Linked DNA regions of Arabidopsis thaliana. The protein of the gene in region 1 interacts with the protein of each later gene in a pairwise test. Each region holds a gene or a part of one and is shown on either strand. Other genes may lie near its edges.

The links.
Region 2: the proteins of TUB4 (region 1) and PLP3a interact in a two-hybrid assay, tested with the Arabidopsis thaliana proteins (one study listed by BioGRID).

The regions. Positions count from the first base shown.
Region 1 is NC_003076.8:17,852,166-17,868,213, reverse strand, and holds TUB4 (tubulin beta chain 4), read left to right. Parts: upstream 1-7,063; 5' UTR 7,064-7,219; coding exon 7,220-7,613; intron 7,614-7,743; coding exon 7,744-8,013; intron 8,014-8,101; coding exon 8,102-8,772; 3' UTR 8,773-9,078; downstream 9,079-16,048. Other genes in the region: AT5G44350 (ethylene-responsive nuclear protein-like protein), read right to left, coding at 2,582-3,586; AT5G44345 (F-box associated ubiquitination effector family protein), read right to left, coding at 5,135-5,286, 5,489-5,749, 5,831-5,855, 5,994-6,101; AT5G44330 (Tetratricopeptide repeat (TPR)-like superfamily protein), read right to left, coding at 9,158-9,944, 10,026-10,094, 10,170-10,318, 10,398-10,610, 10,698-10,889; AT5G44320 (Eukaryotic translation initiation factor 3 subunit 7 (eIF-3)), read left to right, coding at 11,547-13,313; ABCI9 (Stabilizer of iron transporter SufD superfamily protein), read right to left, coding at 13,693-13,911, 13,988-14,072, 14,132-14,247, 14,311-15,303. UniProt on the Arabidopsis thaliana protein: Tubulin is the major constituent of microtubules, a cylinder consisting of laterally associated linear protofilaments composed of alpha- and beta-tubulin heterodimers.
Region 2 is NC_003074.8:18,931,536-18,947,454, forward strand, and holds PLP3a (thioredoxin domain PLP3A-like protein), read right to left. Parts: upstream 8,894-15,919; 5' UTR 8,778-8,893; exon of another isoform or gene 8,709-8,777; 5' UTR 8,692-8,708; coding exon 8,608-8,691; intron 8,472-8,607; coding exon 8,397-8,471; intron 8,323-8,396; coding exon 8,275-8,322; intron 8,190-8,274; coding exon 8,047-8,189; intron 7,961-8,046; coding exon 7,888-7,960; intron 7,797-7,887; coding exon 7,735-7,796; intron 7,649-7,734; coding exon 7,551-7,648; intron 7,466-7,550; coding exon 7,356-7,465; 3' UTR 7,162-7,355; downstream 1-7,161. Other genes in the region: BCS1 (cytochrome BC1 synthesi), read left to right, coding at 1-12; AT3G50940 (P-loop containing nucleoside triphosphate hydrolases superfamily protein), read left to right, coding at 2,551-3,537, 3,625-3,993; ZAR1 (HOPZ-ACTIVATED RESISTANCE 1), read left to right, coding at 4,592-7,150; LTI30 (dehydrin family protein), read left to right, coding at 9,290-9,871; XERO1 (dehydrin xero 1), read left to right, coding at 10,499-10,681, 10,983-11,186; AT3G50990 (Peroxidase superfamily protein), read left to right, coding at 11,620-11,877, 11,973-12,164, 12,245-12,410, 12,652-13,070; AT3G51000 (alpha/beta-Hydrolases superfamily protein), read right to left, coding at 13,723-13,981, 14,065-14,306, 14,407-14,586, 14,674-14,964; AT3G51010 (protein translocase subunit), read right to left, coding at 15,345-15,512, 15,795-15,916. UniProt on the Arabidopsis thaliana protein: Tubulin-binding protein involved in microtubule formation.

The DNA.
Region 1 (16,048 bases):
GAAACAATAAGAGATGCAGCATTTCATCTAACTTTTTCATCGAGCACCAACTTCACAAGTTTGTCGTGTGTTGTTTCCGCATCTATCTGCACAAGTCTACACCCTCTTTCATCGGTGTTAAATATATATTTGTGTTTTTATACCCAATTCCTAAAAACAACAATTACCGGAACCGGATCAACTATATCGGGAGAAGGATGTAAGAAATTGAAGAAAAATGAGGAAAACGATGAGGAATTAGAAGTTCCAGTGATGTGAAAAACTCAGGTGAAGAAGACGAGTTGAAAAAATTTGGTTTTATTTTTTTGCCCTTTGATGATGCTGACATGGAATGATGACATGGAATATTACAGCCGATGTCGTTTTGAATTGATGGGGTGACAACTAAGCCACCAAACGAACATTTGATAACTCAGCCATCAAACAAATCTATAAGTCAGTCGCAACATGAATACTATTACAGTAATTAAAAACAGGAAAAAAACAAAGTTAAGTCAGCCGTGTTATGTCATAACTCAACTAACTCAGCCGTAACGTTTAAAAACTCAGCCGTAACTGCATGCTATTATAGTAATTAATCTTTTGCACATAAGTCAGTCGTCACAAGGCTGAGTTATTTAGTAATCATGCTCTTTACGGCTGATTTATAACACTCGATCATAACTCAGCCGTCACATCATCCTATAACTAAGCCGTCCAAAAATATAACTCAGCCGTGTCGAGGAAATAAGTCAGCCGTTTTCTCATAACTCAGCCATAACATTGTCTGGGTTATGCTATAAGTTTGTTATAACTCGGACAACATTCCTTAACTCAGTCATACCGTTGTCTGAGTTATCGTATAACTCAGACAACATTTTATATATCAGCCGTAACGTCTGGCTGAGTTATACTCATACTTCGTCGTTTTGGTATGACTCATATATTTTTGTCGTAAGTCAGCCGCAACATACCGTAACTCAGCCGTGACTGCCGCTATATCGCGTTACGGCTGAGTTCATTTAATCCACGTCAGCAATTTCTGACGTAGCAGTGACATTCCTTGTAATTACATTTTTTCCGGTAACGTTTAGTAAGAGCACGATGGGTAATAAGAAAAGGACGAAAATATAACAGGATTAAAAAAAAGTTCTGTCTGATAATAACACCTAATTTATACTCTATTACAGTAATTCTCCCAAAAAAGAAAACAAAAGTATGTAACAATAAAATAAGAAAAACCCAACAATGGAGGCTTTGCCACTAAGTTAATTTTGAATTAGGTAAAAGATCTATCGAATCAAAAACCAAAGACACTCTCTTTGTCCGACACCTTTCTTAGTCGTATTTCATTGTTTTATTAATCAAGCTTTACAGTAAATATATATTCACCTTTTCCAAAAGCTTGATTTGATTTCTTTGTCTATTATTATTCACAACAATCATCTTATGTTTTCATGTTTCTTATAAAGATGATTCAACAATCTACTATATTTTATTTGTAAGCGTTAGAAATTAAAAATTATTTTGAATAGATTACACTTTCTTAGTTATACTATTCTTTTAGAATTTCACGAATCGCGATTAAAAGTATAGATACATAACAAAACAAAAAAAAAAAATTAAACCTTCAAAAGTATAATAATTAAAAAAAGAAAAACCATTTCAAGTGTAGTACTCAGATTTTGATTGGTTAATTTGCTATTTCCCAAATTATGTATTTTATCACAACTAGCAAACCCATCTCTTACCAAATCACATTTGACATAATCATTACAACTTTACAATTAGCACAACACTAACAATTTGGTCTTGATCTCCAATCAAAGTGAGATCTCCAAACTTTTTAACACAAGTTAACTAGGCTTAACTTAACCGTTTTATTGGCTAATTGGCTGACAGGAACCTAATTGGTTACTTTTTGTTCGTTAATAATTGCCATGTCTTTTAATTAATATTGCTACAAAACCTACCATCACTATTTTCACATTCCACTGCTATTTAGCTGAGTGAAACCTAATCGTCTTTCACTTACCTACTACAAGCACTTCTGAAATAATACTAATACGTTACCTAACAATTTCTTTTGGTGTTAATATATATTCCAAAACAACACTTTCACCAAACTTTTTTCAAAAATGAAATGTTAACTTAATTAATCACCAAAAAGAGAGTTATATACAAAACAAGTGGAAAAGATTCCTAAACATTAGATTAGAAACATCTAGCTCAAATCCATCGAAACTAGCACTAACCTCTAGATCATTCATTACAAACTTTGATTTGTTTCAATAGCAATTTCTGCTCTTATATGAAAAAAGAAAAACACTTTTTAAGAAAAGTAAATCATACTTTATAAACATAAAATAGTTTTAGTTGTTCAAAAGATAATACTTTTGTAAAAGTATAAATGAAAACGCCAAAAGCAAAAATATATTTCGGTTTGTGTTTAAATTATTACTAATATTCTTTATTTCATTTCGTTAAAACTTAAGATTGTGAATAATTTGGGAAAGTATTCAACATTCAATCCAATCTCCTTCATATGAATGAGAAAAATTTACAGTTTCACATGCAAGCATGTTAAAAAATACAAAAAAAATTATATGCAAAGATTAACTTTTTTGACTGCTCCTAATCTAAGAACCAAACATGATAGTGTCAGAACAATAGCTAAGACCTTCCCACATAACAAACCGGTTAGCACAATCACGATCAGAACAATCCCATTCAGGTTTGATCCAACCACTGGAGGATTCAACGTTTCTTCTTCGTCTCTCTCAGACTCAATTTTCTTTGGTTTATCTTCTAAAACCAAACTCGAGACTTCAATCAAAGACTCTTCTTTGATCTTCATCGTCTTCTTATCCTTCTTATTGTAACTCCTCAACTTCTTCACAATCTTCGATTTTAGTCTCCAACTTTTACTTGTTGATTTCTCGTCCTTTGACAACAGATCACGTATCGTTAAACCTTTCAACTTCGAAACCTCTGTTTCAGATACTACATGCTCTGTTTCCTCAGGACATGGAATCGCTTTGGGAACTCGAGTTTCATCAAAAGTTTCGATTTTCTCGCGGGCAATCGCGTTTTTGTCTTTGTCGGTGTTATTAGAGCGCGTGAAAACACGCGCCGCCACGAGCTCTGTTAAGAGAAGAGCGAAGGCAGAGAGAGTGATTCCTAAAGTGAGCTTCTTCTTCGTGCTCAAGGCGAGCAACGCTACTATCAAAACCTTAAACGCCATCAAAACGACCTCACCGCTACCGCCGAAAACGCTATTTTTAATCGCGTTCTTCTTCAACGCCGCTGATTTACCTTTAACGCAATTAACTTTCTCGACCTTACTTCGAACGGTTTTAATCCTCGAGGGCTTTTCAAAAATCGTATCTTGATTACTCAACGAAGAAGCGTTTGGAGCGGTTCGAATCTGGCGTTCGATTCGTTGGAAGCGTTTAGATGGAGATTTTTTTAGACGATCGCGATTCTTGAAGAAGAGATCGATCAGAGAAGTTGGAAAGCCAGTTTCAACGAACGGTGATTGTTGAAACTCAGAAATGAATCTTAAGATTCGACTCGATTTTGGTTTTTTCCATGGTAGAGAAGACATGGCGATTATACGGAAGTGATAATAAACCTAAAAAAGGAGAGACCTTTGAGTTGTCTTGAGAGAATTAGGGTTAGGGTTTTTGTTGGAAGAGAGATTGATGAAGTTTCTGAGTGACAAAGGTCGAAGCATTTTAAATATATAGGAGTGAAGAAGAAGGAGCGCAGAAAGTGAAGGTGAGAGATCACTTTGTTTTTGTTTAGTGTTGTTTTTTAAAACACGAGCTAAATGATGAGTAATTGTCGAGAAAACGGAAAGAGAGAAATATAAATTAATTATTTTAAAGTTTTAAAGTTAAAACCGATTAAAAATTTGATTATAAAAGGAAATTTAGCTTTTTTGTTACTTTATATGTTTGAAAATTTTGGAAAAATCTTTTAGAAGTTTAAAGGAGTACGTTAAAGATCTATTAATTTATTTTTAAATGATTTAATTTAGAATATTAAGAGTATATAGAAATCTAAATTAGTGACTTTGATCTCATTTAAATGGAATCTATTATAAGCAATTTTTATGGGTTGGCATGAACCTGTAAGCCATTTATTTTACAAAGTTTAGATTATTCGATAAAGGTCGATATCAAAACTAGCTAGTTATAATTTGCAAATTGTAAGTAGGATAAGTTTTTCTTAAACACAATTTTCCAGCACCAAAATGTTTTAAAACCAAGCATTGGATTTATCACGTTTAAACAATTGTCAATTTTGTTTAATAATTAGTTACAAACTGCAATTATTTACTATATTTTTTTTGGATTCGGCATCTAACAGCACGCATCATCATCAACATATCCACCTCTCATACCAGCAATTAATATGGCTAGTTCTAAAGAGGTTCTATGTGTGTGGTATCTCAAATCTTAACTTATTAGAACAACCATTGCTCACAGTAAAAGAGTAAATTAGGTGAAACAATTATCCAACAAGATTAATGATGAGTCAACAATTGGTCAAGTGCTAAACCAACGACCAAACTGTACTAATATATAAGAAATAGAATTAACCAATTATTATTTCTTATTTTGCTTCTGCAAATCACCGAGAACCAATTGGAACAAAGAGTCATTCACGTTTATTTCCCTTAACTCCATGTAATGCACTTTGCTTCCATGCTTGTAGGAACTAGTAGTGGTTCCAATTTCCTTATTATAAATAGAAAACAAAACAAAAAGAGATGCAGAAAAATTTACCTCTATCAATTAATTAATGACAGTTATATATAACACATGCATGAGGTACATCACCAGTGATCACTCCATGTTGGGATCTTTATATATAGTATGATCTTCACCATACTCAATCATTGTATCAAATATTCAAGTCTATTGTTTCACCTCCTTCGCTGATTGAATTCTTGTATCACTCTTATATAGTGTAAAGAAAAAGTCTCAAGCGCACATCATTAATAAGAGCTTAAGAAATCATTAGAAATAATTAAATATGATCCAACCTAGAGCCAAACTAGTTTTATTACAAAAATCTCAAGTCCTAATTACATCACTTACCAAAGCTTCACGTCCTCTATATGGTTTAGAAAGATATTAACTATTTTTTAAGGAAAAACTTCCATTCCTTGGATTTGAAGTCTTATGATTGTCTTTCTCTCCATATTGTAGTAGAAGAGGTAGAAAGGCACAGCATAGCACGTCGCCAACACAATTTCATTTCTCTGAGTCACTCCAACAAGGCGTAAGTAAGCATCCCCTATCACATTATGCCCCAAAGCTGGCAATACACATGTATATGCTTTGACCATTCTTGCTTATCGACATCTTCTAGAACCCAAAATTCAATACTCTCACTTGATCTATAAATAAATATAGACGACGTATTGGACATAACTGTAGCTAATTTACCATTGTAGTTTATTAGGGTTCCATAACCTTTCTAATGAAGGTTTCCAAACCTTCTTCAACGAATCTGAAGTTCTCATACTTAACATCAAAGCAAACGACCATGAAATCCTTTAACAACCCAGTGACTGTACCTACGTAATACAAAACACCGTTAATGCATATCCCTTTATACAAAGGATAATGTAAATGGGGTCTGCAGCATTTGATGTTTCTCCATGACGGTTCTCCAATTCCTAATGTGAGAACTTGATACTCTTCAAAACCATCAAACCATGTCAATACCTTGTATTGTTTCTCAACAGGATCATACCCTAAATAGCTTATCATCCAATCACTACTCGTTTCCACTTTGGGTAAGCTTACGAATGTCCTGTGCTAGGGTTACATATCACCTGCACCACTTCCTTCTTTTCCTTCCTTCTATTCTTTAGAAGGATCAAACTATTGACATGATTACAAATTTTATAGTTATACATATCAAGAGGACGAAAACTCATATGATAACTGGCGACAAGAGGAGGCAACTTCTCATTCGGATTCTGAGGTTGAGGTGACGAGAAAAAGAGCAACTTCTTGTCTTTTACGTAGGCAAACAATAGCTGCGGGCGAGCCAAATCTGGAGGACGAAGTATGGATGCCCAATGCTTCGATACACATCGACATGTAGCTATAGACTTAAATGGCAACTTCGAGAATATCTCGATAATGAGATCAATTGGAATATGTAATGAGTTTTCTTTTTTATTCTCTAAGCTCTTTGGTCGCGTGTCGCGTAAGGTAACGGTTAGATGATTCTCAAAGACGTTTTTTTGCAGTGAATTTCCATAGTGGATACACTAAAAGTTTAAACCCTAGAGACTCGTTCGTTGTAGAGTAAAACTAGAGAAACTAGGGCTTCAGAAGAAAAAAGAACACTAAAAAGTTGGAGGCGGAAGAGGAAGATGTAGGTCTTAACTCTTAATTAATTTAGATCATTCTTGCTGAAAATGATGGGCCTTTTTAAATTATTGAGAGGTCCCAACTTATGTTTGTTCCGGCCTTAGTAGGGACCGCCCCTGAGAACAAATCAGTGAAGGAGAGTGTGATAAAACATTTTGAAAATTTTAATGTGTGTATTAGATCATTTAGAGACGCTTCATAATATTTGTTTTGCTATACTAAAAGTAATGGGCCTTTTTCAACTATCGAGAGGGCCCAACTATATGATCTCTGTAGTCAAAACTTGTTTAATTATGCATAATCGTTGTATCCAAAACCGGTTTAGCAGATCCTGAGTCGAATACTATTCAAATTAACTAGAATGAATCTCTCCCTTCAATAAATTTTCAATTTTCAAAAATAATGTAATTTGTCATTATGTTATAATTTCTATAAACGGCAAAAAAAACTAATTTTCTTTGTACTATTACCGAATATGATTATTCTATTCTTGTTATTAAAAATAAACTTAAATAGTAAAAATATCTTCAAGACAAGTGGGACAGTACAGATATATTTTGAAATCCTCCGCTGTCATACAGCGCAGAGTACAAAAACAAATTATCTAAAACTATCATGTTACAATGTACAAGATAAAACAAACTATAAGGACCAATTTGAAAATAACTATTTTAGAAAACTTATTGAAGAAGACGTAAACTATATATAGCTGATTATTACCTATTCAACAAATCCCTCTTTTTAAACCTATTCAAAGCCAAGGACAAGAAAAAAAAAAAAGAGTCGCCCATTTTCTTCTCATTTTTTTTTTGCTCTTGACGAAGAAACCAAAAAAAAAAAAAATGAGAGAGATCCTTCATATCCAAGGCGGTCAATGTGGAAACCAGATCGGAGCAAAGTTCTGGGAAGTGATCTGCGACGAACACGGCATTGATCACACCGGTCAATACGTCGGCGATTCTCCGTTACAGCTTGAACGTATCGATGTCTATTTCAACGAAGCTAGCGGTGGAAAGTACGTTCCTCGCGCTGTTCTTATGGATCTGGAGCCTGGTACCATGGATTCTCTCAGATCTGGTCCGTTCGGTCAGATTTTCCGTCCTGATAACTTCGTCTTTGGTCAATCTGGTGCCGGAAATAACTGGGCGAAAGGTCATTACACCGAAGGTGCTGAGTTGATTGATTCTGTTCTCGATGTTGTGAGGAAGGAAGCTGAGAACAGCGATTGTCTTCAAGGTTAGGAACAATTTTTTTGAATCTGGATCTGAGTTTTTGAATCGTGGAACGAGAATGATTACAATCGATTTAGGTCTTTGTTGATTATGTACATTTTGTGATGTGTATGGTTTTTGTTGTTTGGATTTAGGTTTCCAAGTGTGTCATTCATTGGGAGGAGGAACTGGATCTGGAATGGGAACTCTATTGATTTCTAAGATAAGAGAAGAGTATCCAGATCGTATGATGATGACTTTCTCAGTGTTTCCTTCTCCTAAGGTCTCTGACACTGTTGTTGAGCCATACAATGCAACTCTCTCTGTGCATCAGCTTGTCGAAAACGCTGACGAGTGTATGGTTTTGGACAATGAGGCTCTCTACGATATCTGTTTCCGTACCCTCAAGCTCGCTAATCCTACCTGTGAGTACATTTCTCCATTTGCAGCTTGTGTATTCATGTAGTGTGATTGAGTCCTGACTTGTTTTTGTGTATTTTGTGTTTTCATTAGTTGGTGATCTTAACCATCTCATCTCTGCTACAATGAGTGGTGTCACTTGCTGTCTTCGTTTCCCTGGCCAGCTTAACTCTGACCTTAGGAAACTCGCTGTGAACCTTATCCCATTCCCAAGGCTTCACTTCTTCATGGTTGGTTTCGCACCATTGACATCGAGAGGATCACAGCAATACAGTGCCTTGAGTGTTCCTGAACTGACCCAGCAGATGTGGGATGCAAAGAACATGATGTGTGCTGCTGACCCTCGTCATGGACGTTACTTGACTGCATCCGCTGTGTTCCGTGGAAAGCTGAGCACCAAAGAGGTTGACGAGCAGATGATGAACATTCAGAACAAGAACTCATCCTACTTTGTGGAATGGATCCCAAACAACGTCAAGTCCAGTGTCTGTGATATTGCACCAAAGGGTTTGAAAATGGCGTCTACTTTCATTGGTAACTCAACCTCAATCCAGGAGATGTTTAGGCGTGTGAGCGAACAGTTCACAGCTATGTTCAGGAGAAAGGCTTTCCTTCATTGGTACACAGGAGAAGGCATGGACGAGATGGAGTTCACTGAAGCAGAGAGTAACATGAATGATCTTGTCGCAGAGTACCAGCAGTACCAAGATGCTACAGCCGGAGAGGAAGAGTACGAGGAGGAAGAAGAGGAGTACGAGACTTAAGATGTTGTCAATGGCTCCCTCGGATTCGTAAGCTGTGTAAGCAAGCAGCATTCACTTTCTTCTTTCCCCTTATCCTGAATTTTTTTCTTCGTAATATCTCTTTTATTGTTTCGTTCATGTGTGTTCGTTTTTGTTATTGAAACCCTATATCGGTTCTGGATTTGTTAAACTTTTGCGTGTATTGCTTATTGTTTTTGTCGGTGAAAAAAATATTGCTTTTGTTCTCTTAAGTTTTGTGTTGCATTTCGCTCGGAGCTTTCATTTCAGGAGATAAAGCCATACACGAAAAATAAATTTCAGTTTCAAGCAACTCTATAACACTGGTCCAAAAATTCATTTCTGCATTTGTTCAATCTATACATCAATTAGTGTAGCAATGTCTAGCCTAAACACTTCTTTGACCAATGTGACGAACCTTTCTTTGATCAATGTGAAGAACCTTTCTTTGACCAATGTCTGTGATCTTAGCGTAAGCTGAAGAAGATTCTGAAGCAATTCTTTCACTTTCTTTTTCGTTATCTTCCTTATCTTTGATCAATTCTGGACACAGCTTCCTTGCTTTGCTTGTCATGCAATCTGCATCACTACTGATGAATTGATGCAGTTCGTCATTAGTAGTCGAGGCTGCTGTTCCTACACTCTTCAAGTTCTTCTGATAATCATTACCGAATCTTAGACTACGAACAGGACCAACTGTCCAGAACCTGAGCTTTCGAGAAGCACCAATTGTCGCATCCCATTTACTCTGATCTACTTCCTCATCTACCCATTTACATTCCCGGGGTTGTGTAGTCAGACCTGGTGAGTTTTGTTCAACCGATTCAGAGGAAGCATGCGAGTTTGTCTTGTGAATATTACCCAGTTCAGTGCTAGTTCCAGCTAGAGCCTTCTTTCCTTTCATCCCACCTGAACATCTCGAAGAGAAGTTATCTGAAAAGCTACTTGTCAGCAAATCTTCTGGTTTATCCGCTACTGTTGCTTGTTCTCTTTCTGCTAACATCTCAGTAGCCCGTTCAAAAGACTTGCAAAACGGTTCATTCTTCCATTGATTCCCTAGAGACTGTTTTACATCCTCAAGCAGAGATTTAGCTTCATGGGTTCTTTCCATACGTATCAAACAGATTGCAAGATTGCACAACTTGTTATTGTCAGGTTCCAAAGACAAAGCATTCCTATCACAGTAAAACCCATTTCACTTGTTAAGGCAATGATAAAACTAACATTCTTAATGGGATTGATGGTGTTTCACAAACCTGTAATACTGCTCTGCAATTCCATAGTTATGAAGCTGTAAGTGAACCCAAGCTAAGTTCCCTAGAATCCTACATATCCAAACACCAAGAAAGTCAGAGAAACTACTCTTTCAGGTATAAAGCGGAGATGGGAGATTGTCTTGCCGTGCTTTCTCTTGCTCGATTGTCTTGTTATTCTGCTCCTCATGGCTTCTTTTCGCTATTTTGATCCTGCCACCATAATGTTTGTCTTGTTCAAGTGTTCTCAGTTTGTGTTCAAGCAGCTCAGCGACCTCTGTAATCCTCCCAGACTTCTGCAAAACCAAAATCCATCAAAATCACATACTGAGCATAGAAATAGCTTCACAATTAGTCATACTGAGAAAGTTTTACCATGTAGAGTTCAAGTAACAAGTTATCAATAGAATCTTGAGATTCAAAAGGGCAGAGATATCGAAAAGACTTGATAGCTTCGATTCCTTCATCGAATCGGTTCAACTGTTTTAAAACAACTACCATGTCCTTCAATGCACTATCAACTCTATCTCCAGCATTAATCGCCGCCCAAAACAACGAGATAGCTCGATTCGGGTCTTTAGAAACCAACTGTTATTGAAAACAATTCCATGTCAAGAACAAACGTTCATACACATAAACCAATACAATTCACTAAAAACCCTATATTGATATTACCTGAGCATGTTTGGCTCTGACGTAAGGAGAATCACCAGTACGAACCCTAAACGATTCTTGATTCTCGATCAAAGGTGATCTTTTCCTCTCCGAAATCGGCATCGCAATGTAAACTCTTCTCGTCGTGTGCCATGACGGTGGTGGAGTCAAGAAACCTCCTCCCTTAGCACCACGGCTCTCACGACGCCGCATAGTGAGAATCTTCTTTTCTCGGGAAAATCTTCTTTACTTCCCCGAGAAAATGTTTCCGATGATCAAATTTTTGGGGTTCTATGGAACGTGTTTGTTAAAGATTAAGAAGCAAAGCGATTCCAAGCCGGAAAAGAGAAGAGACTAATGGAGAAATTTTCCCGAGAAAATTGGAGATTCTTTTTGAATTTTCTCTGAAGAAGAGAAGAGAGTAAAAAAGTCTTTATATAGTTGGACCTTAAGTAACCAATGAAAAACTTAGGGGAAAGAAGTGAGACATGGATATAAAAACAAGGATCTAAATAAAATAAGTTTTGCGACGAGTACAAATTCGTAAACTTTTGAATTGAAGTGCAACGTTCAGTTATTGGTTAACAGATCATGAACCGGTTCTAAGCCGGTTTCTTAATTCCTTAATAAATGTACGGTTGAATATAACCCAAAATTTCGATTGAGAGAATATAGCCCAAACCAAAAGCATTGGTTAGCTTAAACCGACGTCCTTTTGACTGAGTGAGATAATAATGGGCTTAAAAGGGCTAGAGTTTCTTATGACAAGAGAAAAGCCCATTGAGGCCCATTAAGGGCTAGGGTTTTCATTGTTGACAAAATAAAATACAAATTTTTCACTTGCGCACATCTTCTTCGCAAATCTCAACAATGGTGTTTGAAGCATTCGAAGTCGGCACAGTCCCATTCAATTCCGATGGTTGGGGACCACCAGATGCTTCCGACACTTCCTCCACCAGCGTCGCGGCGGCGAATCTCCTCCCAAACGTCCCCTTCGCTTCCTTCTCACGATCCGAAAAACTCGGACGCGTTGCTGATTGGACTCGAGCTCTCTCAAATCCATCAGCTCGTCCTCACACCGGATCCAAATCAGATCCATCAGCGATCTTCGATTTCTCAGCTTTTGCAGTAGATGAAGGATTTGGTCTAACAAACTCAGGTGGAAACGCCGACGAAGACGCCGCTTTCCGATTAGTCGACGGAAAACCACCGCCGCGTCCTAAATTCGGACCTAAATGGAGATTCAATCAATACCATAACCGAAATCAGCTTCCTCAACGTCGTGATGAAGAAGTTGAAGCTAAGAAACGTGAAGCTGAGAAAGATCGAGCTCGTCGTGATCGTCTCTACAATAACAATCGTAACAATATTCATCAGCAACGCCGTGAAGCCGCCGCGTTTAAATCATCAGTTGATATTCAACCGGAATGGAATATGCTTGAGCAGATTCCGTTTTCGACTTTCTCTAAGCTTTCGTTTACAGTTTCTGAACCTGAAGATCTTCTTCTTTGTGGTGGACTTGAGTCTTATGATCGGAGTTTTGATCGTATTACTCCTAAAGCTGATCGTAGACTTGAGCGTTTCAAGAACAGAAGCTTTAAGGTTACTACAAGTGATGATCTTGTGATCAGACGTCTTGCTAAAGAAGATAAAGCTACTGTTTTTGCTACTGATGCTATTCTAGCTGCTCTTATGTGTGCTCCTAGATCGGTTTATTCATGGGATCTTGTGATTCAACGTGTTGGGAATAAGCTTTTCTTTGATAAGAGAGATGGGTCACCGCTTGATTTGTTATCTGTTCATGAGACTTCTCAAGAGCCTTTGCCTGAGGGTAAAGATGATATTAACTCTGCTCATTCTCTAGGTCTGGAGGCTGCTTATATTAATCAGAATTTTGCTCAGCAGGTTTTGGTTAAGAATGGGAAAAGGGAAACTTTTGATGAGCCAATTCCTAATGTTAATGAAGGTGAAGAGAATGCTTCTATTGCTTATAGGTATAGGAGATGGAAGCTTGATGATAGTATGTATCTAGTTGCTAGGTGTGAGTTACAGAGCACTGTTGATTTGAATAACCAGAGATCGTTTTTAACTTTGAATGCTCTTAACGAGTTTGATCCTAAGTACTCTGGTGTTGATTGGAGACAGAAGCTTGAGACTCAGAGAGGTGCGGTTTTAGCTAATGAGTTGAAGAACAATGGTAATAAGTTAGCTAAATGGACTGCGCAGGCTCTCTTGGCTAATGCGGATATGATGAAGATTGGGTTTGTTTCGAGGGTTCATCCTCGTGATCATTTTAACCATGTTATATTATCGGTTTTGGGGTATAAGCCGAAAGATTTCGCTGGGCAGATCAATCTGAACACTAACAATATGTGGGGAATTGTGAAGTCGATTGTTGATCTGTGTATGAAGTTAAGTGAAGGAAAGTATGTTCTAGTGAAGGATCCATCGAAGCCTCAAGTTAGGATTTACGAAGTTCCGGCTGATGCATTTGACAATGATTATGTGGAGGAGCCACTCCCTGAAGATGAACAGGTTCAGCCACCTGAGGAGAACACTGATGCAGGAGCAGAGACTAATGGGGTTTCCTCTACTAATGTAGCTGTAGAGGATAAGAAATCCGAAGTTGAAGCCTGATTTTGATGATATGGGTATATTTCAAGTCGTGTTGTTTTGAGTTACTTTTAAAAAATGTTCGAAAGCTTGTTCACTTTTTCATAGACTATTTATGTTCCAAAATGTTGGTTCATGCTTTCTTGGTTGTTTTTGAATTAACTCTTTGAACTTAAAAGGTCATCACTGTGGTAGGTGCTTGGTCATTGATATTCCGGCATTAGAGAACAGTAGCATCTTTGATTATTCGTGAGACTCTTTTCTGATCGAGAATATGCTTTTTCTCAAGTGTTTATATATCAGTTTTCTCAAGCCAAAATTAATTATTGAAAGCCTAAAATTGTTAGCAGTTTGTTGGGCACAAGTAAAGCTTTCTTTAATGTTAAGTAATTGTGAGATTTGTTTAACCCACTGATCCTTCAAGCTTAATGCTCAAAAGCTGGTTAACTTCGGCTCCAAATTCATTAGGCAACTTGTTGAAAACATCTCTGCAAAATCCAGAGATCATTGCCGCTAATGCTCTCTCATGATCGATACCTCTCTGTTGAAAATAGAAAATCTGATCTTCTCCAATCTTTGAAGTACTTGCTTCATGCTCTATTCTCGCCGATGGATTCTTTACCTGTTATAAGATCTTCATTAGAGGTGCTTTTATCATAACCTTATAATAAAAGGTTAGATGATCATATACAAAGTACCTGTATGTAAGGATATGTATTAGCGGCTGCATTGTCACCAATAAGCATCGAGTCACAAGTCGAAGTATTTCTAGCGTTCTCAGCTCTGGATTGGTCCATGTATCAGCTTGCTGGTAGTTATTAGTCAATGATACGGATTAAAACTCTCCAACGGAATCATCTCCTTCTAAAACCACGCTTGGATACTTCCAAGTTATCGCGAACCCTTTCTCAACTTGAGTCCATGAGATCTTGGAACGATCACCAGCGCAGAGACCACGCTTTGTGACGAAATTGTAAATCCCACCTTTACCTTGTTCATCCCCTGCATATCAATTCTGCACCGTCGAGTACTTAATCTCCGCTCCTTCAGCGCAATAGAGCTCAACAACAGCAGCGTGAAGCTGATTCTTGTCATGAGAAATAGCAGTGCATCCTTCTGAATACTCAACAAAACTACCTTCCTCAGCAACAATCAAAGTTCTTTCAAACTGACCAGTGTTTTCAATAGAATTCATCCGAAAATAACTCGAAAGAGGCATCGGACATCTAGTGTTTTTCGGTATATAACAGAACGATCCATCGCTGAAAACCGCGGTATTCAAAGCCGCGTAGTAGTTATCATCACTAGGCACAACTCTTCCTAAATACTTCTTGATCAAATCCGGATACTTCCTTATAGCTTCGGATATCGAACAGAAGATCACACCTGACTTCTCTAGAGGCTCCTTATTAGTAATAGCTATCGATTCACTATTATAAACCGCATCAACCGCAACTTTAGGTGAACATTTCTTCTTCTTTGTTAAAGGAACATCTAATCTATCAAATTCCTCAAGAAGCTTAGGATCATCAGCTTCATCAGCTATATCTGAACTATTCAAAGTTGGTTTCTTTTTAGGAGCAGAGTAAAAACACATATCTTGGAGATCAAGCAAAGGGTACCTATTATCTGACCATTTAGGTTCTTCTAATTTTAGAAACTTAGCATAAGCTTTGAGCCTATACTCAAGAATCCAAGCTGGTTCCTTTTTCAACTTCGATATCAAGCGAATCGTTTCTTCAGATAAACCTTTAGGGATTGTGAAGGAATCGATGTTTTCAAGGAATCCGTATTTCTTATCGTAATCTTGATTCTGGAAATACTGTTGAAGTTTATCAGATGGTTCGGTTCCATCATTGGCTCTGACTTTGAAAAACCTAGTAGGATTTAGGGTTTTGAGAAATAGAAATTTCAAGGAATAGGGTTTTGGATGAAACACTTTTAGTAATTTGGAATAATCGGAAGTGGGTTGTGGAGAAAATTTGGAGAAACCGATTGCGAAAAGAGACGCCATTGTTGTGCTTCCAAGGCGAAGTAGAAGAAGTTTTTTTCTTTCTTTTTCTTATCAAGTAAAAACATTGAATATGTTTTTCCTTTTACGTGTGGAAAAAATGATAGTCGCGTGTCTACCAAGTAAGGGATCTTTTTACTTGGATTTTAACTTTTACTCAATTATATAAGGGAACTACTGAATAAAAAAGAGTTATACACACCAAAAAAAAAAAGACGAAGTAAATTTGCCATTTCCTTAGTGGCTTTATGGAAAAAGAAATTTTCACATAAGTGGATGAAAAAAGAATTGCTCTCATGGTTTGTCAAAATGAGATATGGTTTTCATCGTTTGTCTTTTCAGTTGTTTTCAGATCAAAATACCCTTTATGGGAGCAAGCAAACCACACAGCACTTGATTTCGGTTTAGATTTTGTGGTTCAGTTTTGAAAAAAAAAAAAAAAAAAACTGAAACAAAGAAATCGAAGAAGAAGAAAAAGAGAAAGAGACGGAGAAATTCGAGAGAGAAGTAGAAAGAAGTTCAAAATTCATTATTCACTCCTTCATATTTTGACATCTCTCCATTGAACTCCAAAATTGAGGAACAAATTTCTTGTTTTCAGAGATGAACAAAATGCAAAAAAAAAAGCTCATAGATTCAAACACTTTAGCTTTTTAAACTAAAGATAGCTCATAGATTCAAACACTTTAGGTTTACAAGATTTATTTATAAATAGTAATCAAAACGTAAACAAAAATGAGATTTTGAG
Region 2 (15,919 bases), on another chromosome or scaffold:
GAACAACATTAACTTGTGAGATATCAATACCTAAATCATTAAATCGCCAGTTACTGTCTATAATCTACAGATTCATTTATAAACCTAGTCCTAAGATAAAATAATCTTAGAGAGATTGAGACCAAAAAAGGGAAAAAATTGAGGAGATCAGATAAAACACCTCTGCATCCGAGTGGTAGCTGTAAAGAGAAGAGCACGTGTATTTATACAAAACTATGCGTTTAGCTTGTTTTTTCTCTCTGTTTTTTTTCTAACTTTTTTTAGCACAATTTGTTTTAAGCTACTAAAAAAAAAGTTTGCCGACAAAAAAAAAAAGGTTAAATTTTAACTTTCCGAATCTTAATTTATGACAGTTGATTTTTTTTTATCTCACCGATAAAATAATATCTTCAAGCCACATTTGTGAAATTGAAAATCTCAATGATTCCGACAAAAAAGAAAATCTCAATGATTCCTTCCTTGTATCGAGAAAAGGAATTGACACTAATTAAGTGGGCCAAAATTTTGGCACCACTACACAATTCGTTTAGTCAATACTATTATTAAATGGGCCGTACATGTTTTAATTTTCTTCCTTTCTTTGTAGATGTATAATTGATCTTCTTCCTTTTCCTCAATTTCTATTTTTCCTTAAAATTGGGCTTTTAAATGTCATTTCCTTTTCGAGTTATTTCCTTTTTCGTGTTTATATTTATTTTTGTCTTTGACTCCTAATCCTAGATGCTTTTTTTTTTTCGTCAGTCCTAGATGCTTTACAAATAAATAAAGAAAAATATTTGAATGAACTTTATATTAACTTCTTTTATTTTACCTAATTAAAATCGGACACCTAATAACAATAATAGAAAGTTAATTATAAAATCTAATTTGCCACTAAAACAAAATTATGTATCGGTTTGGGTTTATTAGAAAAAATTAGGGTTTAGATTTTATGATTAAACGAGGTTAAATATCAGTTTGGGTTTAGAAAGTACGATTAGAGTTTAGATTTTCTGATTAAATGGGTTAAATATTGGTTTAGTTTTATAAACAGATTTAGATTTTACAATTAAACGAGGTTAAATGTCGGTTTGGGTTTAGAAAATACGATTAAAGTTTAGTTTTCTTACGATTAAATGAGTTTAAATAGCGGTTTGGATTTATAAAGGAAAATTAGAGTTTAGATTTTGTAATTAAACGAGATTTTATATCGGTTTGGATTATAATTATAGCTTTAATTTATTATGTAATTTAAATAGGATTTATAACATATTTTTATTGGTTAATGCAAAAAAAGGTGAATAAAAGAGAAGAAAACGCCCAAGCTCTTCACTCTCGACACAGATTACTGGTACTCATCAGACCCATGGACCTCTGTTACTCTTAACCATCCTTCTACCTTCAAGACGCTAGCTTAGAAGAAATATCGTTTTGCATGTTTTTCTCTTTAGTTTTGTTTTATCGAACGAGATTTTTTCTACCATAATTTTTTTATATAGCATAATTATACTTTGAAAATTATTATAACTAAACCTTGGTATTAGTCTAATATCTTACATTAGTTCCTCCGGTTCATAAAAAAATATTTTCTAGATTTTGTTTCATAATGTTTTATTTTTTAGATTCTATATTAGTTAATATCATTAAGTCAAATGAGAGATATTTGAATTACTATTGGGTAAGCACTATAGTAATTTAAACACAAGCATAGTTAAATCAACAAAGAAAAAAATCAAACAAAGGATGCAGAAACATATATGAACTTGAAAAAACCCAATTATTAGATATTTTGTAAAGAATCATCAAAAATAAAACAATCTTCTTAGAAATATTTTCCAAAATGTTGTCTCGAAGAACATCTATTAAAATTGGAACGATACATAAAAGATTAGTATAGTCCGCATAAGACACGCATAAATCGAAATATAATCCAAATTATTTTCAACAAAGAAAAAATTACTTTTCAAGAAAGTAAATATTTTGCTAACATGTCATTCTAACATTAAAACTACTATTACAATTTTCAAGTATAAAAGACAAGTCAGCATATATGTTAAGGAGCAAAGACTTTGCATTTTTGCAGCGAGCCAGCGACCAGACTCTAGAAGTCTGTAGGGGCTATCAAGTTTTCATTTTTAACGATACTTTATCAAATGGGCCGTAATCTTGGCCCACTATAGACCATTCATTTAGTGTTCCATCACCATTTAAATAGTAATCTTTCATTCCCTAATTATCTCAATCTTATGATCAGAGGTATTCGTGAAAATTTATTATTGATCGCAGAAGCCTTTCATCAAATAAAAGAGAAGAACTGGTATCAAATTTTCTCCTTAACCTTAACATTTTTTTTTTTTTACTTGTTAAGATTCCAATTTGTGTGCTCATCGTAAAATTATCAAAAGAATAGCATCGTTTGTTTAACCTAATCAGATTTATCCCCACGTAACCTAGTAACAAATACAGTACTATTGTTCTATAATCAGATTTTTTTTTGGATTAGTTTCTTGTCTCTTTGATTTATGAGAACCGACTTGAATGTATTTATTTTATTTTTGATGATTGAAGGAGATGAGTTCCTCTAGTGAATCTCATCTAGCCACCGCCAAAACAGCTCTCACAGCGGTTGCATCAGTTGCTGCAGCCGCAATACTAGCTCGATCAGTGGTTCAAGATTACATGCCAAACGAGGTTCATGAATATATCTCTCACGGCTTTCGCAGATTCTTCAGCTACTTCTCTTATCAGATGACAGCTGTAATAGAAGAATTTGGAGGTTTTGAACACAACCAAGTGTTTGAAGCTGCAGAGGCTTATCTCTCCACCAAGATATCTAATTCCACTAGAAGAATCAAAGTTAACAAACTTGAGAAACAGAGCAATTATAGTGTTACTGTTGAACGTGATGAGGAAGTTGTTGATATTTTTGATGGCGTCAAGCTTAGTTGGATCCTTGTATGTCGCCATGTCGATAAAAAGGATTTTCGTAACCCGAGAGATCTCAACTCCACTTTGAAATCAGAAGTGCGTAGTTACGAGCTTAGTTTCCGAAAGAAGTTCAAGAACATGGTTCTTGAATCTTATTTACCGTTTGTTGTGGAACAAGCTGCTTCTATTAAACAAAAGTTTAAAACATTGAAGATCTTCACCGTTGATTCTTACTCCGTGGAGTGGACCTCTGTGACTCTAGATCATCCTTCCACGTTTCGCACTCTCGCTCTGGATCCCGAGGTGAAGAAAAACTTGGTGGAGGATCTTGATCGATTCGTGCAGCGGAAAGGCTTTTACGGGAGAGTTGGAAAAGCTTGGAAGAGAGGTTATTTGTTGTATGGTCCTCCCGGTACTGGAAAATCAAGCTTGATCGCAGCTATAGCTAATCATCTTAACTTCGATATCTATGACTTAGACTTGACATCACTTAACAACAATGCTGAGCTACGGAGGTTACTTATGTCTACTGCAAATCGTTCCATTCTAGTTGTGGAAGATATAGATTGTTCAATCGAGTTAAAAGATCGGTCTACTGATCAAGAAAACAACGATCCGTTACATAAAACGGTGATGCATTTTGATTCACTATCAGTTATGTTGTTATGTGATCTTTTGCTTATTAGCATTACTAATGTTTTGGTTAGTCATTTTCAGGTCACACTCTCTGGTCTATTGAATTTTGTAGACGGACTATGGTCAAGTTGTGGTAACGAGCGGATTATAGTGTTTACGACTAACTACAGAGAAAAATTGGATCCAGCATTGTTGAGGCCAGGACGTATGGACATGCACATTCACATGTCGTATTGCACACCAGCTGCTTTTAAGGTTTTGGCTTCGAATTATCTCGAGATTCAAGATCATATACTTTTCGAGCAGATTGAAGAATTTATCCGAGAAATTGAAGTTACACCAGCAGAAGTAGCTGAACAACTGATGAGGAGTGACTCTGTGGATAAAGTACTCCAAGGACTTGTTGAGTTCTTAAAAGCCAAGAAGCAAATAGATAATTCAAAAGCTTAGAAGAAATTTAGTTCTTTTATTTGTTTCTTTGTTAAACACTATCATGCAATTATTGGTTATAAAATGTTACAGAAAGTGAAATCATTTTTTTTTTTCCTAAGTGAAATGCGGATATTGTTTTATGAGGTCAGAACATGTCTAAACTCAATGATAAGATTCTAAAGTAGATTGAGACAAGTTTCGTAGTCGGCAGCAGTAACCAAGAAAACGAGTAAGGTTGACTCTTGACTTGTTAAACCATTGACTTCAATTTCGATAAAGTCTCTATGTAAGCTCATTTTTCTGAAACAAGTTTTGCTAAAAAAATCCAAAGATCTGAAGCTTCAGATCCTTCTCGGCTAAGGCTAAGTCACAACCTTGTAAGTTTACTTTACTTTGGTTAGATTTGTTTCAATGTTCTAGGATTCTACATGTTTCTTGAGAAGATATGGATTAGTTAAAGAATAATCCAATCTTTTGGTTATTGAGATTCTATAGTCGTTGGTTGATTGATTTTTGGAAAGTTCAATCTAGTGATGATACACATAACCGATTGAATTATTGCTTGGTTATAGTTTACCAATTAGAGATATTTCTTGAAGTTGCAGGGTCTGAGTAAATGGTGGACGCTGTTGTAACAGTGTTTTTAGAGAAAACCTTGAACATCCTCGAAGAAAAAGGCCGAACCGTATCGGACTACCGAAAACAGTTGGAAGATTTGCAAAGCGAATTGAAATATATGCAGTCTTTTCTCAAGGATGCAGAGAGGCAGAAGAGAACTAATGAAACGTTGCGTACTCTTGTTGCGGATTTACGAGAACTGGTTTACGAAGCTGAGGATATACTTGTGGATTGTCAGCTCGCGGATGGTGATGATGGGAACGAGCAAAGGTCATCAAATGCGTGGCTTTCGCGGCTTCATCCTGCCCGGGTTCCGTTGCAGTACAAGAAAAGCAAACGTTTGCAAGAGATCAATGAGAGGATAACGAAAATAAAGAGTCAAGTAGAGCCTTATTTCGAATTCATAACGCCGAGTAATGTTGGAAGAGATAATGGAACTGATCGGTGGAGCTCTCCGGTGTATGATCATACTCAGGTGGTTGGTTTGGAAGGAGATAAAAGAAAAATCAAGGAGTGGCTCTTTCGATCAAACGACAGCCAGCTTTTGATAATGGCCTTTGTTGGGATGGGAGGGCTAGGTAAAACTACAATCGCTCAAGAAGTGTTCAATGACAAAGAGATCGAACATCGTTTCGAAAGAAGGATATGGGTGTCTGTGTCCCAGACTTTTACTGAAGAACAGATCATGAGAAGCATATTGAGGAACTTGGGGGACGCGAGTGTTGGAGATGATATTGGAACATTGCTGAGAAAAATCCAGCAGTATCTTTTGGGGAAAAGGTACTTGATAGTTATGGACGATGTATGGGACAAGAATTTGAGCTGGTGGGACAAGATCTACCAAGGACTGCCTAGAGGACAAGGAGGTAGCGTTATCGTGACCACAAGGTCGGAATCTGTAGCGAAAAGGGTGCAAGCGAGAGACGACAAGACTCACCGTCCAGAGCTCCTTAGTCCTGATAACAGTTGGCTGCTGTTTTGTAATGTGGCATTTGCAGCAAATGACGGTACTTGTGAGCGTCCCGAGCTAGAGGATGTTGGCAAGGAGATTGTAACGAAATGCAAAGGTTTGCCTTTGACAATCAAAGCGGTTGGTGGGTTACTTCTGTGCAAAGACCATGTCTATCATGAATGGAGACGAATTGCAGAGCATTTTCAGGATGAGCTAAGAGGAAACACTTCTGAAACTGACAATGTTATGTCTTCTCTGCAGTTGAGCTACGATGAACTCCCTTCCCACCTTAAGTCGTGCATTCTCACGCTTTCGCTCTATCCAGAAGACTGTGTTATACCAAAACAACAACTAGTACATGGATGGATCGGAGAAGGTTTTGTCATGTGGAGAAACGGAAGATCTGCAACTGAATCTGGAGAAGACTGCTTTTCCGGGCTCACAAACAGGTGTCTAATAGAAGTTGTAGACAAAACCTATAGCGGAACCATCATCACTTGCAAGATTCATGACATGGTTCGTGATTTGGTGATCGATATAGCCAAGAAGGATTCGTTCTCTAACCCGGAAGGCCTCAACTGTCGTCACCTTGGGATTAGTGGAAACTTTGATGAGAAGCAGATCAAAGTTAACCATAAGCTGAGAGGCGTAGTGTCAACAACTAAGACAGGTGAAGTGAACAAGCTCAACTCAGACTTAGCTAAGAAATTCACAGACTGCAAATATCTTCGGGTTCTCGATATCTCGAAATCCATATTTGATGCTCCTCTGTCTGAGATTTTGGATGAGATTGCAAGCCTTCAACACTTAGCATGTCTTAGTTTGAGCAACACACATCCGTTGATCCAGTTTCCTCGTTCCATGGAAGATCTCCACAACCTTCAGATTCTAGACGCAAGCTACTGTCAGAATCTGAAACAACTTCAACCTTGCATCGTCTTGTTCAAGAAACTCCTTGTACTTGACATGACGAACTGTGGATCCCTTGAATGCTTCCCCAAGGGTATCGGAAGTCTCGTGAAGCTCGAAGTTCTGTTGGGATTTAAGCCAGCCAGGTCCAACAATGGGTGCAAGCTCAGTGAAGTGAAAAATCTCACAAACCTTCGGAAACTTGGTCTTTCTCTGACTCGTGGCGATCAGATAGAAGAGGAGGAGCTTGATTCTTTGATAAACCTAAGCAAGCTGATGTCCATTTCGATCAACTGCTATGATAGCTACGGCGATGATCTCATAACCAAAATAGACGCCCTTACTCCTCCACACCAGCTCCATGAGCTTTCTCTACAATTCTATCCTGGAAAGTCGAGTCCATCGTGGTTGAGTCCTCACAAGCTTCCGATGTTGAGGTACATGTCAATATGTTCAGGTAATTTGGTGAAAATGCAGGAACCATTCTGGGGAAACGAGAATACTCACTGGAGAATTGAAGGTTTAATGTTAAGTTCATTGTCGGACCTAGACATGGACTGGGAAGTGCTGCAACAGTCAATGCCGTACCTGAGGACCGTGACCGCAAACTGGTGTCCAGAGCTAGAGTCTTTCGCGATTGAAGATGTTGGCTTTAGAGGCGGAGTGTGGATGAAAACACCATTGCACAGAACCTGATGAAACGTTTTAAGCAACTAGATCAATGTTTATTAAACAGTGACAATAAGTTGGTGTATTACATATACCTTGATACAATGTAATGTTGCTTTGACCGTTTGGATTTCATATCGCAATTTTCTTTTCTAATAATCATATAACAAACGAGCAAAAAGGGAAAACAGAGACTAGCAGCAATGGCAGATCTTTGATGTCAACTGCTTGATCAGTCAGAATCAGAGTCCAGATTCTCTGAAGACCTAACAGACCTCCGTATGCTCTCTTGATATTCGGCGTCTTCATCATCTTCCTCTTTCTTCTTCTTGCTGAGCATTCCTGTTAAAGATTTGCACTCTTTAAGCAAAAATTCTCTAACTGGGCCGTTATAATAAAAAAAAGGTGGGACCGAGGTTCTTCATACCCTTTTTAAGAAGAACGTTCTCTAGTTTATTCGTTGTGAAATCGTCCTTGGTTCCCAGATCCTGGAACCCAACTAGCCTATCCATCGCAACTCCCTTGCTAAGAATGGTAAAGAAACTCGTACTTTATGAGTATACACCTAACAACAAACCCTGTATGTAAGAAGGAATAGAAAGAGGCGAAACCTGAAAAGCACAACGCAAGGCAAAGTCTTTATTGCAAGCTTCGTGACAAAGAAAGGAGCATTCTGCATTTATTTCAGCCAAGCATTAGCTTCAGCAAAGGATTGTTGAAAAGCCATTTCCTCTTATAAAACTTTCATCAAATGGTTCACTAACCTCTGCGTCCACTTTAATGAACTTTGTGTCCACATGTCTAGGTGCAAGAGTTTTCAGATGCTTGTCCATAATCCTACAGTAATGCAGTAAATATGTTTGGTTATGAGCTCATATACATATCAGAAGACGAACAAAAAATAAGCTGATGAGAGATCTTACTTGCACCGGTAAAATTCCTTATGGTAGAAATGACATATCACTTTCTCACTCCTGGTGACTTCACCCAAGAAATCTCCTTCACTCACCTCTCGATATTCACCATGCCCTTGTCTTTTAAACGATTCTCTCTTCTCAACCTCTCTCTGTCAAGATAAAATCTTGAAGATTTTAGTTCATACCAAAAGCTGCATAACTATATAGGCCACAATACAATGCCAAAGTTATAACCTTTAGTGCTGCAATCCTATCTGCGTGCAATCTTTCTAGCTCTGGATCCTACAGAACATAGACAAATAAGTCTACCATAGAGACCTACGCTTAACAGTCACAACAAGCAACATTGCACTTACATCCATAAGTTCATCAAGATCAACCTCTTCATTAACAGGATTTGATCCTTGCGCCTTCTCATTTGCAAGAACTTCCTACAAAACCCATATAAAGAACTCATCAAAACCATACAAGTAAGTCCTCACAGGTAATCTACTCAGACAAAGAAACATCAAAAAAACTCATAAAGTCTATCACTATTTCAAAAACAAATTGAGAAACATTCTTTACCTTTTGATAATTTCTTGCAGCAGCCGCCATTACATTTCCAAATGCTAGATTCGAGAGAGTCGATTTGACTGCATCTGGATCCATCTTTTAACACCAAAAATCTGAAACAACAGCATGAAAAAAGCATTAGGATTCAGAGATAAATGAGAGCTAAAGCTTCAAAATCATACCTTTTTCAATTCCTTCCTGATGCGAAGAAGAAAAATAAAAAAACACAGCTTGAGAAATCGAAATCAAAGCTTTTTTCCTTTCTTTACTAACAATTTCAAAAAATCAAAAGATGAACAACAAAGGTGGAAGAAACATACCAAACGACATCGTTTTTTAGTTTAGTAAAAGATATGCATTATTGGGCCTTTCATATCTAAAGGCCCACAGGCCCATATAAGTTAAAATTACGTCGGTCGCTAACCACTACTACACCGACGTCTTACTTGCCATGTGTGTGTGACTCTTAATCAATTACGAATTGAATATATTACTTTTACGATGTCGGCCAACACGTATTGAGTAAAATATCTATGTGATGATGAATTCCTATCCAAAATGAAATTTGCATCTCTATAAAAGTATCATTCAAGAGATCATTAATCTTCATCGATCAAAGTCTTGAATATTTCATCTATATATACCTAAGAAAGAAAAGAGTTAAAGAAGTATATTTTCGATTCAAAGAAGAAAAATGAATTCTCACCAGAATCAAACCGGAGTGCAAAAGAAGGGAATAACGGAGAAAATCATGGAGAAGCTACCAGGTCATCATGGACCTACTAACACTGGTGTTGTTCACCACGAGAAGAAAGGGATGACGGAGAAAGTTATGGAGCAGCTGCCAGGTCATCATGGTGCTACTGGTACCGGTGGTGTTCACCACGAGAAGAAAGGAATGACGGAAAAAGTTATGGAGCAGCTGCCAGGTCATCATGGATCACACCAAACTGGAACCAACACAACTTATGGTACTACTAACACTGGTGGTGTTCACCACGAGAAAAAAAGTGTGACCGAAAAAGTTATGGAGAAACTACCAGGTCATCATGGGTCACATCAAACTGGGACTAACACGGCTTATGGTACTAACACTAATGTCGTTCACCATGAGAAAAAAGGTATAGCAGAAAAGATTAAAGAGCAACTGCCAGGTCATCATGGAACTCACAAAACTGGAACCACCACAAGTTATGGTAATACTGGCGTTGTTCACCATGAAAATAAAAGTACGATGGATAAGATTAAAGAGAAGCTTCCCGGTGGTCATCACTAGATTGATTAACAACTTGTTTAAGCTTATTTTAAGTATTTGTGTGGTGTAATAATATGATGATGTGGCTTTCTTTCATTGAGTCGCTAAATAATATATGTAAGTGATGGATCTTTGAATTAATATAAAATATCTACTTCTGGTTTCGTTTATTTATCTTTCTATCGCTTCAACTATTCCATGTTATTAAAATACTTGTGAGTTGTGACACATACAACCACGTATAATTCACATGTAATTATTTGGTAATTCAATTCTTTACAAGTTTATATGTTCTTTTGCATACAAGTTATCAGGGAAACGACCGCAGTTGTTTGGCAATGTATATTACTCAGGTTTTCAATTCAGGCCCATACGGCCCAAATAAGTTGTTTTTACGGATATCGAGTTAAAAGAGGTGTGTCGATTATAACGGACATGTGTCACACTAACCACAAAACCAACGTCTTACGTAATCGCCACGTGTGTCACTTCAACGCAATTTGATAATAATCATAATACTATATGTGATTATGATCCCTATCCAAAGTTGCGGTTCTATAAAAATACCATTCAAGAGCGTATACATCTTTATCCATCAGTGTCTTAATTTTGTCTATAGCTAAAAAAAGGTTCAATTGTAAAAGGAATATGGAGTCTTACCAAAACCAGTCCGGAGCGCAGCAGACTCACCAACAGCTTGACCAATTTGGAAATCCATTTCCAGCCACCACCGGAGCCTATGGAACTGCCGGTGGAGCTCCAGCCGTGGCTGAAGGTGGTGGTTTAAGTGGCATGCTTCACCGTTCTGGGAGTAGCTCTAGCTCTAGCTCGGTATGCTTCTGTTTTACGCAATTGCTTTTGCAATATTTAGTGTACTCTTTCTATATCACCAAATACAAGAAGTTTCATTTAATTTGACTTCACCTAACTAGAAAAAATCAGGAAACCATATTTTAGATTTAACTCTACATATTTTTTATAAACCATTTTTTGTGTTCAAATGATAAGTTTTTGTTTGTAATTTGAATTATATTCAAGGTATACCATATATTTAAAATTACTAAATAAAATATGGAAAGTGTTGCAAATACATATAGCTTTTTAATTTTTCTGACGATTTTCATGCATGAAGGAGGATGATGGACTAGGTGGAAGGAGGAGGAAGAAGAAGGGAATAACGGAGAAGATTAAAGAGAAGCTGCCGGGTCATCACGACTCCAACAAGACTTCTTCTTTAGGTTCTACAACGACGGCCTATGATACCGGCACCGTTCACCACGAGAAGAAAGGCATGATGGAGAAGATCAAAGAGAAGCTTCCGGGTGGTCATCATTAGTTTCATTTTAATTAACTTGTTTGGTGTGGGTCGTTACGCTTATGGTCGTTGCATGGAATAAATTATAAACCCTCTCTTTTTCGTAACATTTATGGCTCAGGCTCTATTGTTTTGAGTGATACAAATTAAGGTAATGTTAGCACACGGGTGGGTTCACGATTCTAATCGACATCTTCCCATTTAAAATAACAAAGGGATTTTGACGTTTTCTATTCCCAACACAAAGGAAGACAAAAGAAGGAGTGAAAATCGGTAACTATATATAGATGTAACGAATCTTATATCCAAACCAACACTCACAATTAATGTATCCCCCCATCCAACAAATTAAAAGCCACGTTGACGTGACAAATCATACTTGGTGACGCCTTCCTCTATAAATTATCCAACCATGCATTCATCGTCATTCCCACAATAATCGCTGAGAGTCCAAATGAATACAAAAACGGTGAAGTCAATGGCGGGCATTGTTCTCTCTCAAATCTCACTTGTTGCGCTGTTTCCTCTATGTATTTGTTATCAAACACATCAAAGCACGAGCTCTGTAGCCTCTCTATCCCCTCAGTTTTACGAGAACTCGTGCCCAAACGCACAAGCCATCGTTCAATCTTACGTCGCCAATGCATACTTCAATGACCCTCGCATGGCTGCCTCAATTCTTAGGCTCCATTTCCACGACTGTTTCGTCAATGTTTGACAAAATCTAGTCTATTCTTCAGATATATAATGTTTTGATTTAAATAAGGAGAAATGTTGTTTGATATATATATACTCTGGTTGGTGCAGGGATGTGATGCTTCCGTACTATTGGACAGTAGTGGAACCATGGAAAGCGAGAAACGATCAAATGCAAATCGAGACTCTGCTCGAGGGTTCGAAGTCATTGACGAGATCAAGTCTGCCTTGGAAAATGAATGTCCTGAAACAGTTTCTTGCGCCGATCTATTGGCTCTCGTTGCTAGAGACTCTATTGTTATTGTAAGTCAATTCTCTAACACAATCATTAGGATTGATATATAATTGATACAAACACTCGTTACTTTTGTAATTATCTACAGTGTGGTGGACCTAGTTGGGAAGTATATCTTGGAAGAAGAGATGCAAGAGAAGCAAGCTTGATTGGTTCCATGGAAAACATTCCTTCTCCCGAGTCCACGTTACAAACAATTCTCACTATGTTCAACTTTCAAGGACTTGATCTCACCGATCTTGTTGCCCTCTTAGGTATATATACTACACTCGTCCAAGATATTAATGTGGTTGAATTTAAAGGGGTCTTAAAGCAATTGTGATTTTATGGAAGAAACTAATTAAAAGTATAAATAAATGTTAATAACGATGTTTGTGATTGGATAAGAAAAGTTATCTTATCTCTCTATTAAAGATTAAATGCCCTAAAAACTAACACATTGATAAATTTAATTATCATTTCTAAATTGAACTAATAACCATGATTCAAATGTAGGGAGTCACACGATAGGAAACTCAAGGTGTATTGGTTTCCGACAAAGGTTATACAACCATACTGGAAACAACGATCCCGACCAGACTTTGAATCAAGACTACGCCTCTATGTTGCAGCAGGGATGTCCGATTTCGGGCAACGACCAGAACCTCTTTAATCTTGACTATGTGACGCCGACTAAGTTTGACAATTACTACTACAAGAATCTTGTGAACTTTAGAGGACTCTTGAGTTCTGATGAGATATTGTTCACGCAAAGCATAGAGACTATGGAGATGGTCAAGTATTACGCGGAGAATGAGGGAGCGTTCTTTGAGCAGTTTGCGAAGTCGATGGTGAAGATGGGGAACATCTCACCGTTGACGGGGACGGATGGTGAGATCCGGAGGATATGCCGGAGGGTTAACCATGATGTTTGAGAGAGTTTCCATTATTGGATAGTTAAAAGTCCTAAGCGTTTGGTTAACGACTTAACGTTAATCTTTTTTTTTTTTTGTTAAATTTGATTTCTGTTGCCATTGTGTTTAATTTATTTTTATTTGTTCTAATTAATTTATGAGTTTGGTGATTGTATGGTATACCAAAACGTCAAAAACATAACGATTTTTATGGCAACTGAAATTGCTAATGAATTTGGAATGTGATGTGCCTATACTCAACAATACAAATTTTGACGTGACAACTCCATTAGGTGAAATATCTTTCTCGAAATTATGGATGTAACTTAAACATCTAAACTAGAAGTATCGGAATGTTTTTAAGAGGCCCTAGAAACATAAGGAGTGATGTTGTAAAGGAGTTTTGTTTTGTTGTTAGAAAATTTCAAAGTGGAAGTGAGACACATGAACAAATTTGTCGCACTTTTACAAGTTGTGTTCTGGAGTAAACTTTACACTCTTGGCTTTTGTTCAAAGAAGCACATAAAAAAGCTTTAGACCTTTCTTTACTTTAAGAACCATTATTATTGCCGAGATCACACTCGGGTTTCGTTCTTGAATACACATTATTAGTAGTTTAATTAAGACTAGAGCATCATGGTTCTTCTATAAGGCCACAGAGAACGGTATGATTTTACTCTGTTTTGCTTAACTTGTTTAAGAAAGAGAGAATCTCTTGAGAGACTTGTTCAGACTTCTCCTGCTGGATAAAATGATGACCACCTTCAATAACAACTATCTCAAGATTAGGCACAACAATCTTGAACACCTCTCCTTTCACATACTCCATTGTTCCATTAGGTCCTTCATATCCGATATCTTTGTCTCCCGCTATAAACTTAGTAGGAACGACGATTTTGGAGTCTTGCCACGGCGCCAATATCTCCCAATTCCTGTCACATTGCACATTTTCAATACTTGTTTTTGTAACAACAAAGACTGGAGATAAAGTGAGAGAGGGAAGTGAACAACTTACATATCCATGGATCTGTAGTAATTCAAAGGGCCAGTGAATCCAGATCTTTGAAACTTTTCCGCATACACTTGAATCTCTTCTTCTGTTATCCAATCTGGAATCGTCGACGGTATCTCAAGATGATCTATGATCTCTGTGTCAGGAGGAGCCACTAAGTAGTCTGTTCTTGTTATTAGCAAGAACTTCTTCATTACCGATAAACAATCATGCTTGGCAAATGCAGCCTCAGCTCTTCCGGGTTTCTTGTAAAAAACAGAACCGAGAAATCGAATCAACGACAACAATGAGTACCATAATAGTAACACTAACATCATAAATCTTGAAAGTAAATTTGGGTTTTACCTGAAACTGAGTGATGTATAAACCATCTCCAAAAATTTTGAAAAAATCTGAAGGTTTGAGTTTTGGATCTCTTGGGAAATATGGAACAGAGAGACTTATGAAACCTTTGACTCGGTCTGGTCTAAACAAGCATAGACACCAACCTATGATTGCTCCCCAGTCATGCCCAGCCACAAAAGCCTACCACAGTAAAAATGTAAACTTTCTTCTCCACAAATCTATCTATCTAAATCTAAACGCTGGATTCTCAAGAAGATCATTTTTCACCTGAGTAGTGCCGTAGTGATCGAGTAAACCGATGACATCAGCGACTAGGTGACTCACAGTGTAAGACTCGTGGCTCGGTAGAGAATCGGAGTCACCGTAGCCTCTGAGATCTGGAGCGACCACGTGGTAACCATGGCTAGACAAGAAATCGATCTGGTGACGCCAAGAGTACCATGTCTCAGGGAAACCATGGAGTAACAGAACCAAAGGCCCTTCTTCGTCTCCTTTCTCAGCAACGTTTAACCAAATCCCGTTGGTCTTGATCTTCTTCTCTCTAACAGAGCTCGTCATGATTCTTGTTGGTGATAGTTGTGAGAGAGAGGAGGAAAATCAGCGACCAAGGTGAAGACTTTATCACAAGAGTTGAGAAATGGATGCACACATGACGTGGCGGAATATGAAATCAGGCCTCTAGTTAGATTACACGTGGCGGTAACTGGTCCTGATTCAGTTTCATGGGTTGCCGTAAGTAAAAGAATGTCAGCCAAATTCATGAAACAAGAAACACATGACTGGATATAAAGAACACAAACGTCAAGTAACTCTCAGTTCTTCAGACAACATAGCGAGTTAACTCTCAAGAGAACATGCCAAACACAACAAAGAAGAGTAATTCTCTAACTCAAGACAAGAAAAGAGATTGTCATTTAGGATTATTTCTATGTTTGATCTCAAGAAGACATTGATTTCTTCTTCTCTTCTTCCAGCTGTTGAAGCTCAATCAGTCTTTCAGCCCATGCTCGGTCCCTAGCGACAGCAGCCATCTTACGTTCCACTTGCTTAATTCTCTTCTTCCTCTTCGCCTCTTGCACCAGCGCTTGCCTCTTCTTCTTCTCAGACTGCGAAAAAAATATATACACGAGAACTCCATCTTATTAGTAAACTAAAAAAGAACATTGCAGATTGTTTTGTAAATGGAAACAGAACGGAGAAGCTAAGAGAGATACAGCCTTTTATCATCCCATAGGTTACTTATGATTTCTCAGCTTTCAAACTTATTTCTCATTTGTACAATCTATTGATTCAACATTCCAACATTTCTCATCTAACAATGTAGAGCTATGCAAAGATCAAAAAGCTATCAAAGTTCTTAAAACAAGCTAGAAAGAAATCAGACAAACCAGTATAAAAGCACGACGCTGCCCTATGCGCTTCTTCGCATTTCTTCTCTTCACACTTCCCTCATTAGGATTGTTTGAAGAAATTGGCTGGCCAGGTGTATATTGAACGTATGCATAAGGCCCTG